Linked DNA regions of Macaca mulatta. The protein of the gene in region 1 interacts with the protein of each later gene in a biochemical or structural test. Links are inferred from orthologs where the notes say so. Each region holds a gene or a part of one and is shown in the gene's direction. Other genes may lie near its edges. The genes, in order: MMP14, LUM and TIMP2.

The links.
Region 2: the proteins of MMP14 (region 1) and LUM interact in a biophysical measurement, tested with the Homo sapiens proteins (2 studies listed by BioGRID and IntAct, with this or other methods). The link is inferred for Macaca mulatta from reciprocal best matches to the Homo sapiens genes MMP14 and LUM.
Region 3: the proteins of MMP14 (region 1) and TIMP2 form a complex in vitro, tested with the Homo sapiens proteins (2 studies listed by BioGRID). The link is inferred for Macaca mulatta from reciprocal best matches to the Homo sapiens genes MMP14 and TIMP2.

Annotation. Positions count from the first base shown.
Region 1 is NC_133412.1:95,912,041-95,916,285, forward strand, and holds the start of MMP14 (matrix metalloproteinase-14 precursor), read left to right. Parts: upstream 1-1,404; 5' UTR 1,405-1,639; coding exon 1,640-1,747; intron 1,748-4,245.
Region 2 is NC_133416.1:98,417,147-98,421,395, reverse strand, and holds the start of LUM (lumican precursor), read left to right. Parts: upstream 1-1,332; 5' UTR 1,333-1,431; intron 1,432-3,834; 5' UTR 3,835-3,855; coding exon 3,856-4,249.
Region 3 is NC_133421.1:88,537,051-88,540,696, reverse strand, and holds part of TIMP2 (metalloproteinase inhibitor 2), read left to right. Parts: intron 1-1,307; coding exon 1,308-1,505; 3' UTR 1,506-3,646. UniProt on the Homo sapiens protein: Complexes with metalloproteinases (such as collagenases) and irreversibly inactivates them by binding to their catalytic zinc cofactor. Known to act on MMP-1, MMP-2, MMP-3, MMP-7, MMP-8, MMP-9, MMP-10, MMP-13, MMP-14, MMP-15, MMP-16 and MMP-19.

The DNA of each region.
Region 1 (4,245 bases):
CGGGAGGCTGAGGCAGGAGAATGGCATGAACCCAGGAGGCGGAGCTTGCAGTGAGCCGAGATTGCACCACTGCACTCCAGCCTGGGTGACAGAGCAAGACTCCATCTCAAAATAAATAAATAAATAAATAAATAAATAAATGCACACCATATACCTCCCACAAACCTGGAGGCTCCACAGGACCTGAAAAGCTTTTCATTTTATTGATCGTGAATCTGAGAGCAAAAGACCTTTGTTTTCATTACAGTACTGAGCACTAGACTTCCATTCTTCTGCCACAGAAGTGCGATAGTTCCTGAATCCCTTGGATTTCTGAAGCTTCCTACCTGACCTAATTTCTGTCCACCCTCCTTTATTCCTTCCTTTGCTTTCTTCTCCCTCGTCGCACTACCTCCGTCCTCTCTCACTGACCAAATGCAATTCTTGGATCTTAGATTTCGCTGATAGTCGAGTTTTCTGTCTCCCACACTTTTCCTGCTTCTGTTGTGCTGCTTTTCCACATCTGTCTAGTTCCGGACTCTTTATCTGTCTCCCTTTCTCACGGTCAGCTTTATCCTGCCCTCTCCCTTTCCTACATACCTCCATCTTTTGTTGAGTCCAGTAAGTCCCTAAAGGAGATTTTACTCTTTAAGAATTGCCTCCTTTTTCAGTGTAGAGGTGGAACTAAACCCCAGCGTCCCAACTCCCAATCCCTTCTTTTACAATAATTTCACCCAGCTTGATTTGCTTTCCCCAGATCCCATGGCCTTGTACCCTTTTCCTGTCAGCGAGTTCCAATTAAAGGTGCAGCCACATTACAAATGACAATAAAGGAATCTTTCTACAAGGTTGGAGCCACAGATCCAGTATGGTTGTGGGGTTTTTTGTTGGTAGTTGGGTTATAGTTTGGAATTTTTGGCAGCGGAGGGAGGAACATAGACAGTTGTCTATAGGGGCCAGAAGATAACCCCCCAACTATTAGTAAACTGGCCCCTTCTCCCTATGCAGGTCTCATGAGCATAGAGGAAGACCTCACCATCCCACACTTTGAGCTCCTTGTTGCCCATAGCCACGTAGCCCCCAATAATTTCCACCCTGAGGTGAGACAAATGCTGAATACCAGAGGAATCAAGCCACTCAGAATATGCTTATGGGGAGAAAGTCTCCCACATCCCGTCCCCTGGGTCCCCTACAGCCCCCTGCTGTCCACCGTGGCCTCAACCCCTGCAGATGGCAGCCTGCACCACAAAAAGGCAACTTAGCGGGTTGGTTGTTTTTTTTTTTTTTTTTTTTTTTTCCAGTTCTTGGTTGTAATTGGATTCAGGCTAAAACAACCACGTCCCCAACCAGGAAAGGAGGGCACTGGGGCGGGGACGGAGGAGAGGCTGCGGGAAAAGGGAGGGACCAGAGGAGAGAGCGAGAGGGATCCAGACCCCAGTTCGCCGACTAAGCAGAAGAAAGATCAAAAACCGGAAAAGAGGAGAAGAGCAAACAGGCACTTTCAGGAACAATCCCCTTAATTCCAAGCCGACAGCGCTCTAGGAATTAAAGTTCAGTGCTACCGAAGACAAAGGCGCCCCGAGGGAGTGGCGGTGCGACCCCAGGGCGTGGGCCCCGCCGCGGAGCCCACACTGCCCGGCTGACCCGGTGGTCTCGGACCATGTCTCCCGCCCCAAGACCCTCCCGTTGTCTCCTGCTCCCCCTGCTCACGCTCGGCACCGCGCTCGCCTCCCTCGGCTCGACCCAAAGCAGCACCTTCAGTCCCGAAGTAAGTGAGCTCCCCGGCCCTTCCTGGAGTCTCGCCCGCCGGGAGGCGAGCCCGGGGGTCTCCAAGGGGACAGCCTCTATTCGGAGAGGAGGGCTCTTGGGATCTCGGCTGTTCGGGCCTGCAGGACTCCCCCTCCTTTTCTTTTTCCTCTTCGTCTCCAAACTTCCAGATCGATCCAACTTTTGCCCGCTTCCAACCAGCTGCCCCCACCCCCTGCGCCGCCGACTGTCTTTCCCATTCCTTCTTTTTTCCCAGTCCTTGGAAGAACTTTACCACTGGGGCAGACTCCCCCTTCCCCAATTCCCTTGGGCTCTGCGTTCCGCTCTGGAACCGCCTGGTAAACATTTGGACTCCGCTCAAACCCCGCGCTGTCCCGGCTCCTCGTCATGCGCGAGAGTTTGTTGTTCCTTCGACTTTCCAGCTCTCCAGCGCTCTCCCGCCGGCGCGCCCTCCGATGGGCGCTCCGGCCTCCCCGGGCGGCCCAGGCCCTCAGCAGACGCGTCTGCGGCCAGATGGGGGTCGAGGGTGGACGGCCGAGCGTCCAGGGCCACAGCCCCCGTCTCCCCGAGAGGACCCCGCTGTCCCCCTACCCGCATCCCTGGCGTCGAGGGTCGCAGCGCCGGCGCGCTGGCCGCGTTTCCGTCCACACAAAGCTCTCCTTGTGAGCCGGGTGATCCGCCGGGTCGCTGCCTTCCCCTGTCCCCACCCGCGTCGGCGCCTTCAGGCCCTTTTTGTTGTTAATTGTTTTTCTGTGTTAATTGCAGGGAGCCAGGGGGCGTCGCTCGGGGAGTGGGGAGAGGGTCTGGCCCGGGGTGCCCTCACACGTCTCGACTGGCTCGGGCGCCCCCCACCCCCACCCCGGCCCAGACGGTGGCCCACCGGGCCCCAGAGGAAGCTGCGTGGGAGTTGTCTGAGGAGGTTTTTCCTCTCTCTCTCTTATTTTGGGGTGAAGGTGGGAGACGGATTTAATGAGCTTCTTATTTTGGGCCATCTCAACCCACTCAGCCTGGCAAGGGCCTGGGTGCGGTCGGGAGGGGCCAGGAAGGGCCCCAGAAGGGGGATGGGATCTGGGTTTGGCTTCTCCGCCCTGGTCCCACCCCGGAGGAAACTCTTTGGAAAGAATACTCTCTTCTCTCTCTGTCCCTGAAGGGGTCTGGGGCCAACTGGAAAAGTATGGCCCCAGGAATGGGGGTGGAAGACGAAACGTGGAGTGCTCAGACACCAGGGAGAGTAAAAACCTGCCCTAGTGCTGGAGGCTGAGCCTGACTCTCGGGGAGGAGTCGTCTTCTTCCCAGGCCTAGAGTCCTCCTCTGAGACCTGAAAGGGAGCGCCCCTAAGAAAACGAGCCTGGGCATCTGGGGAGCTGCCCACAGCCAACTTCACTGCCTTGCCTTTTTTCCCTCCCCTGCTCTGCTGGGTCCCCCAGGGGAGGGGCGGCAGCCCTGGCTCCGTTTTAAGTGGGTCATGGGCGGTCCCAGTGCCAGAACCACCATTTGCTTCTGGGCCCTGGAAGGGAGGGAGGAGCAGCCCCAGAGGCTAGGATCCAGGGCCTACTGCAGAGCTGGAGGTCCCCCCACCCTCCACTGGACTCCTAAGCCAAGGTGGGAGGTGTTCCGTTGACTTTCTCCTAGGGGATACCTTGCATCTCTCTCATTCACAAAGACAGAGCCAACCAGCTGAGTTCTTTGACCCAACATAGTTGCTTTTTACTCCAGACCAATGTGGAGGGAAAGCTGGGGTGGTGCAGGCCTCATGCAGCTGGGTCCCTCCCACCAGGCCTCCAGAGTCCTGCACCAGCTCCAGGACAGCCCTCTCCTCCCTATGGCCCGTCTGGCGCTGAGCCCTTCCTCCCCCCCAGCCGCAGACACAAGAGTCCTCTCTTCTGTGGTTTCGACCTCATAGTCTCTGTGAGGAGAGAAACTTGCCTAGGCCTGGTGGGAGGAGAGGGATGGGGGCACTTCCTTTCCAGGCCTTGCAGCTCTCTTGACTCCAGGGAAGTCTTTCACTTGACTGAGCCTTCATTTTTCTCCCTAGGGTATGGGGTGGAGGTTGTGGGTATGAATATTTAGACCCGCCTAGCTTCTTGAAAGACTCCAGAGGGGATTTCCCCTAGAGCTCCTGGATGTGGATTCTCCCCATCTCTGTGCTGCCCTCCCTTCTGTCGTTCTGCTTTAGGTGAATTCTCTCAGCTTTGCTCTCTGAGGGTTGAGGGGGCCTGGCCTCAGTCCTCCTGCCTTCCAGCATCAGAAGTAGACCAGTCCTGTCCTTCCCCAAGTCCTGAAGCAGCTGCTCCCCAACCAAGGGTCATAAGCCTGGGGTGTATTTATCCTGCAGGTGAGGCTAGGGGCAAAAGACGTTTCCTGCATATTTAGGCACAGGCCACAGCAGGCCTCCCCAGGCACTGGCTGTAGCATCAGCCAGAACAGGTCAAGGCAAGCCTGCAGCTCCCTGAGAGCAGCCCGGGACTGGCGTGCCCTGCTTGGCTCCCCTCTGGTATA
Region 2 (4,249 bases), on another chromosome or scaffold:
TTCCTTATAAATTTGTTCAGTTACTTTGTTGAAACTGATGCCTATCAATAATTTTCTTAAAATAATATTAGTAAAAATTGTATGCTTATGAATCATCTTACAATTCCATTAGTTACTTTCAAGAAGATTACTTTTTGTTTTTGAACAGTTCTATTACAAAAATAAGGCATTTATTCTAATAGTCTTTTGTCAGGCAAATGCAGTATTAGTCATGGAGTTAATCTTCCACAAGTCTCACTGCTAAAATGTAATATAGTTATTTTTAAAGACAAAAATACAATGTGACAATTTATACTAAAATATCTTGTTGTAAAAGTTCTTATAAATATGAGGAAATGAAACATTTTAGAAAAAAAATCACATAAATATAACTGATAAAATCACAAAATGAAATAGACAAGGATTTAAGTACATCTCTCATTTGCTGAAACCATGCATCAGGAGCTGATAATGAAAGATATATCCAGCCAGGTCTTTGGGAGATTATAACTTTGAATAACTTTTAACTTTGAAAAAAAAATTATAGCATGCAATGAGAGAATGAAAGATTATTGCCTTGTGATACTTTTAGTATAAATTTATTTTTTTCTCTGTTATTTTATGTTTTTTGGCATTAAGCTATAGAATGCTATCCCCAAGTAAGGTTTTGGGTGAATTCCTAAAAAAAATCCACAAAATAAGAAACAGACAAGACTTTGCTGATTGGTTCCAGACCTGAGTAACATAAAATGAGTCTCCTTAGCATTAGAAGTAAACTCGAAATGCTGATATTTATCATGTGTATCCAAGAGTATATGAAGCATATTTCACATTTTCAAAACTAATGTAAGTTACCCTCATGACCAAAAAATTAAGTTAGTCCAAGTAAATCTATATTGATTTCAAAAGTGATAGGCAAAGGGATTCAATTCCTCTGAGTCTGTTCATTTGTGTTTTCCTGAAATTATTTGCCCTGCTTATGATTTATGAGATCTTTAGATAAACATGATAGTTGGCTGAGTGCATTGCACTTAATTGTTGCCACAGCCACAGATGTAAAGAGGTTTGTAAGAAAAATGTTCTCACAGTGAGCTTCCTTATTTGAAGCAGGACTCAATCCTTGGTTAAAAGCTATGGTATTTGAGCTAGTTAAACACGTATCTCTCTCCCATTCCATAGGGAATGAACTGGGCTGTCCTTCCTCCCCACATTCACCTGCACTTCGTTAGAGAGCAGTGTTCACATGCCACACCACAAGATCCCCACAATGACATAACTCCATTCAGAGACTGGCGTGACTGGGCTGGGTCTCCCCACCCCCCTTCAGCTCTTGTATCACTCAGAATCTGGCAGCCAGTTCCGTCCTGACAGAGTTTACAGCATATATTGGTGGATTCTTGTCCATAGTGCATCTGCTTTAAGAATTAACGAAAGCAGTGTCAAGACAGTAAGGTAAGTGCTGTTTTAACTATCGCACTGGGGATGGTAACTGTTTGGGACAGTGTTTTTTGTAACAGGAACAGGAAAAATTCCAGAGCAATTTTGCCAATTGCTATTCCACATCAAATCCACAGTTTTGAGCAGTTAGTTTCACATTTTGTTTAATATGTTTTCCATGATTTATAGATTTGAGATTTTATACAGTATATGCTATATTGCTTGGCAAGGGAAGTTATAAAAAGTTTCAAGGTTAGAATGAGAAAATAGTTAAAGTAGACACAGTGAAAAAATATAGAAATTAAAATGTTTGTTATGTATGCTAACTAGTTATATATGTTAGTATTGGACTCTAATACTGGAGCAAGGAAAGGTCATTTTAATCAGCATTCAAAATATCTTTTAATAAGTATATTGTGGCAATTTGTTATAATTTACAATACACATTCTATGTTATAAAACATGAGCTAAAAGATTTAGAGACTCTTATGGATTATTTATTTCTGTTTTGTTAATTTAAAAAATTGTTTCTTGGATATATGCCTTAAGGAATGAATTTTTAAAGAAATTCTGGGAAATGATTTAGTTTTTGGAAACAGCATTTTCTCTATAGCCACAGGTATTTGAGAAAACTGAGGGAAGTAGAGTGTGATTTTGTCTCATAGTGGAGTCATTATATGGTCACAAACTCTCTTTCAGTTCAGCATCCTTGTTTTTACTTTGCCAAAAAATGTGGAAGCATTTTTCATTACTTTTTAATACTCACCTTATAGTTACCATAAATATTTTGGTATATACTAAATTTAAAATAGCTTATTAATAAAGCAAGACAAATCTTTACAGTATTTGCATTCTGTAACTTATAAATAACTCTGGGAATATGTCATCATGTTCTTTTTAGTGCTATGCAATTATTATTATGGCAAGTTCTGTCAACAATATTAAATGCCCCCCATTATAATCTTAGAGAGTAATTTACTGAGAATCTGGCTACATGTTACATTATGTCAGCAATCGAAGTATTTCTGACAACTGTTTTATAACGTTCCATCTGATCTGAAATAAAATGCCTTATAATTTCAAATTAAAACAAATAAAAGACGTTTTCAGTTTCTTACCCCAGAGATCCTGCTTATCCCAAACTACCTTGATCCAAAAGCTTGTAATCATACTTTCATAGGAAGATACAATATTCTCAGTTATCTATTAGAATGTAGATCTTTCTTCACATTAATGATTTATCTCCCAGGGCTACCAACTCAGCCACAACTCTCCACTCTATAAAAGTCTAACTCTTATATTCTAATTTTCCCATATCTAAATTGCCGCACCTCCTTAAGACACTGAAATGGACTTTTTTGAACCTCACCTGAGAAACATGTTCCTATGAGAAGATAACTGTTACACATTATTTTAAATTCATATTCTCAATGGAATAATTTACTAGATAGTTCTAATACCAGTATTAAATCCAAACTTTAAAAACGTCCCACCTCTCTCCCACCTCCATTCTGTGAGGTCACTAAAAGCCAGATACATGCAAATCATGGCATCTTTGATTTTGGCATGAAGAAAGTAGAGAACTTGTGAGTAATTGAGAGAGACTATAATTCTAATTGAAAACTTGGAAAATACTATCTTTCTCTACCTGTTGAATCTCTTTCCAGATAGAGAAACCCTTAGAATGTGTGACATTTTCCTGATAAATATTAGTAATTCTTAAATATTACTAATATTTAATTTAGTAAATAGCTAATTTATGAAATATTAGTTTCAGAACACAGTTTTGCAGTGTGCTTTAAAAAGTGTGGAATGTCAAGCACAACGTGCACTAGTATGCACGCACACCAGCACCAAGAATTCTGTTCTCCTTCCTCAGAACCAACAATAACCGGATAGTTTTAAAGGAATGTGCCTTCCATTTCCCTCCCACATACAAGCAAAACCTCAGGTTGCCCATATTCCCGTAAGGATCTTCTTCATGAGTCATTTTAATGATGTCGAATGGTAGAGTAGAGTATACAGTTAACAACTGTCTTCTCATTCTCGTTTTCTGAGAGATGATCTGAAGCAGTAGTCTAATTCGGTGGTCAATGAACACCACCCAGAAACCTCTTACAGGCAGGCATTTCATTAAGGAAGAGCCTAAAGAGATTGACTGGAACAATTAGGCCTGGCTCTCCCAGAAGGGGGCGCACGTGTACGCAATCTAACCTGAAACCTGCTCACCACACAGTTGTAAACATACACCTTTGTCCTCATACCTAAATAAAAATTGAAGAGACGCCGTTAGATGCACTAAAAATAGCTATAAGAATAACAAAATGCACATTTTATAATGCATTTAATGTTGTAAGTTGAATATCCTTTTCTTGAAAGTATATATTTTTTATTAATAAATGTTTCAACTTTATTTAGGATTCAAACCATTTGCCAAAAATGAGTCTAAGTGCATTTACTCTCTTCCTGGCATTGATTGGTGGTACCAGTGGCCAGTACTATGATTATGATTTTCCCCTATCAATTTATGGGCAATCATCACCAAACTGTGCACCAGAATGTAACTGCCCTGAAAGCTACCCAAGTGCCATGTACTGTGATGAGCTGAAATTGAAAAGTGTACCAATGGTGCCTCCTGGAATCAAGTATCTTTACCTTAGGAATAACCAGATTGACCATATTGATGAAAAGGCCTTTGAGAATGTAACTGATCTGCAGTGGCTCATTCTAGATCACAACCTTCTAGAAAACTCCAAGATAAAAGGGAGAGTTTTCTCTAAGTTGAAACAACTGAAGAAGCTGCATATAAACTACAACAACCTGACAGAGTCTG
Region 3 (3,646 bases), on another chromosome or scaffold:
AATTAGCCGGGTGCGGTGACGCATGCCTGTGATCCCAGCAACTTGGGAGGCTGAGGCTCGAGAATGGCTTGAACGTGGGAGGTGGAGGTTGCAGTGAGCCAAGATCGCGCCACTGTACCCCAGCCTGGGTTGACAGAGTGAGACTCTGTCTCAAAAAAAAAAAAAAAATGGAGGGGGATGTCTGGAAGGCTAGGAGATTTGAGAGTAAGGCATAAATTCAGCTCTGTTACTTGCCCCTTCCAGAAAAAGGAGCTGTATGGGGAGAATATGGTCCCATGGATCATTTCCTACAAATGCGGATATGCAAACCCTTGTGTGCCTTGTGAGAGGGCACTGCAGGCCTCATGCTTTTTCCAACATTCCCGACATTTTCACACCTGGGTCGGTGTCTACGTGGGGTCTGTGTGTTGAGAACACCTGCTTCTCTTCAAATGAGCCCGGAGGTTGTGCCAGGCACAGTCGTAGCAGCCCGACGCTTGGATGTGACTGTGGAAGGCGAGATCACCACCTCCAGGGCTCCCGGGCTGGCTCCTACCCTGTGGGCTCCTAGCACCCTATCCCCACCCTTCCTGCCGGAAGCATTGCTGAGTGCTGGGCACCTGCCACCCTGGGTCACTCCCAGCGAGTCTGGGACCAGTAGACTCTGGTGAGGCCGTGGGGATTGGCCTTCCTTGGGGAGCTGCCTGGGGCTGCCCTCCCTCCTGACGGCCACCAGCCCCTTCTCAGCATGTTCAAAACAGGAATTCTGAACTCATAGTCTCCAGCCACACATATGTTAAGCAAAACTCCTCTGTGCCCAGCATGAAATCAAAAGCAAGTTCTTCCTTTTTCTTTCCATGGGGCAGTGAAGGCAGTCATCCTCTTGTAGCCTCGGGTTCCTTTGCCAAATTGCTAGTTGCCTATGACCTCAGGGCTCGGCCTTGAGCAGTTCCCAATTCCCGGCCTTTTCACTGGGCTGGAATCTGTCTCCAGGAAACCCAGGCCCTTTTATTGTTGCTATGTCCCCCAGAGGGCAGGGCCAAGCCAGGCCATTCTCTCATGCTCAGGAAGGTAGAAGATGGCCCAAAGGGAAGCACACCTGCAGCAGGAGGGGGGCCCCGGTGGGCGGGGCACAGCTTCCCTGCAGGTAAGACCCCCTCGCAGGCCAGCCGCCTGCCCCTGCAGGAGCTGTGGGTCTCGGGAGAGGCTGCCATCCCTGCACACCGCAGGTAGGCACATTGCCGGGTTCTGGACATGCCCCCAGAGCAGCCTCTGCCCACCCCTTCCTGGGTTCCTGACTCCATCCCCCTCTGTGTGCCCCTCCCCAGATCACACGCTGCCCCATGATCCCGTGCTACATCTCCTCCCCGGACGAGTGCCTCTGGATGGACTGGGTCACAGAGAAGAACATCAACGGGCACCAGGCCAAGTTCTTCGCCTGCATCAAGAGAAGCGACGGCTCCTGTGCGTGGTACCGCGGCGCGGCGCCCCCCAAGCAGGAGTTTCTTGACATCGAGGACCCATAAGCAGGCCTACAACACCCCTGTGGCCAACTGCAAAAATAGCCTCCAAGGGTTTCGACTGGTCCAGCTCTGACATCCCTTCCTGGAAACAGCATGAATAAAACACTCATCCCGTGGGTCCAAATTAGTACAGTTCTGCTCCCCGCTTCTCCTTTTAGACACGGTTGTGGGTCTGGAGGGAGACATGGGTCCAGGGTCCTCATCCCATCCTCCCTCTGCCAGGCACTGTGTGTCTGGGGCTTCGATCCTTGGGTGCAGGCAGGGCTGGGACATGTAGCTTGCCTCCCAGTCCCTGCCTTGGCACCGTCACAGATGCCGAGCAGGCAGCACTTAGGGATCTCCCAGCCGGGTTAGGGCGGGGCCTGGAAATGTGCATTTTGCAGAAACTTTTGAGGGTCATTGCAAGACTGTGTAGCAGGCCTACCAGGTCCCTTTCATCTTGAGAGGGGCATGGCCCTTGTTTTCTGCAGCTTCCACGCCTCTGGCCCTAGTGTAACACTCCCTGCCCCTGGCAAGTACCCCCATCACCCCGGTGCCCACCATGACCTCCCAGCACTTGTGGCTCCCCCCACATCCAGGGACAGCCTGGAACCAGCGGCTTATTCTTGAAGGAGCCCCATCAATCCTATTAATCCTCAGAATTCCAGTGGGAGCCTCCCTCTGAGCCTTGTAGAAATGGGAGCGAGGAACCCCAGCCTCAGCTGAGTCTTTTTGGTCTCCTGCACCCCCCGTCCACATGCTTCCCCAGCCTGCAGGGGGAATTGGTGAGGTCCTGTCCTGAGGCTGCTGTCCGGGGCCGGTGGCTGCCCTCAAGGTCCCTTCCTGAGCTGCTGTGGTTGCCATTGCTTCTTGCCCATTCTGGCACCAGGCACCTGGATTGAGTGGCACGGCTTTGCTTTATCTGGGCTTGTGTGCAGGGCCTGGCTGTGCTCCCCATCTGCACATCCTGAGGACAGAAAAAGCTGGGTCTTGCTGTGCCCTCCTGGGCTTAGTGTTCTCTCCCTCAAAGACTGACAGCCATCGTTCTGCACGGGGCTTTCTGCACATGACGCCAGCTAAGTGTAGTAAGAAGTCCAGCCTAGGAAGGGAAGGATTTTGGAGGTAGGTGGCTTTGGTGACACTCTCACTTCTTTCTGAGCCTCCAGGATACTTGGGCCTGTTTTAAGAGACACCTCCTTTTTCTAACGATGAATTCTCAGATGATGAATTCTCAGATGACAGGTGAACCTGAGTTGCAGATATACCAACTTCTGCTTGTATTTCTCAAATGACAAAGATGACCTAGCTAAGAAACTTCTTAGGGAACTAGGGAACCTATGTGTTCCCTAAACATGGTTTCCTGAAGCCCGTGATATGGGGATCAGAATAGGAAGAACTTTCTCGGTAACGATAAGGAGAATCTCTTTTGCTCCCACCTGTGTTGTGAAGATAAACTGACGATATATAGGCACATTATGTAAACATACACACGCAATGAAACTGAAGCTTTTCGGCCTGGGAGTGGTCCTGCAAAATGCTTCCAAAGCCACCTTAGCCTGTTCTATTCAGTGGCAACCCCAAAGCACCTGTTAAGACTCCTGACCCCCAAGTGGCATGCAGGCCCCATGCCCATCGGGACCTGGTCAGCACAGATCTTGATGACTTCCCTTTCTAGGGCAGACTGGGAGGGTATCCAGGAATCGGCCCCTGCCCCACGGGCGTTTTCATGCTGTACAGTGATCTAAAGTTGGTAAGATGTCATAATGGACCAGTCCATGTGATTTCAGTATATACAACTCCACCAGACCCCTCCAACCCATGTAACACCCCACCCCCGTTTGCTTCCTGTACGGTGATATCATATGTAACATTTACTCCTGTTTCTGCCGATTGTTTTTTTAATGTTTTGGTTTGTTTTTGACATCAACTGTAATCATTCCTGTGCTGTGTTTTTTATTACCCTTGGTAGGTGTTAGACTTGCACTTTTTTTAAAAGAGGTTTCTGCATCGTGGAAGCATTTGACCCGGAGCGGAACGCGTGGCCTATGCAGGTGGATTCCTTCAGGTCTTTCCTTGGGTTCTTTGAGCATCTTTGCTTTCATTCGTCTCCCGTCTTTGGTTCTCCGGTTCAAATTATTACAAAGTAAAGGATCTTTGAGTAGGTT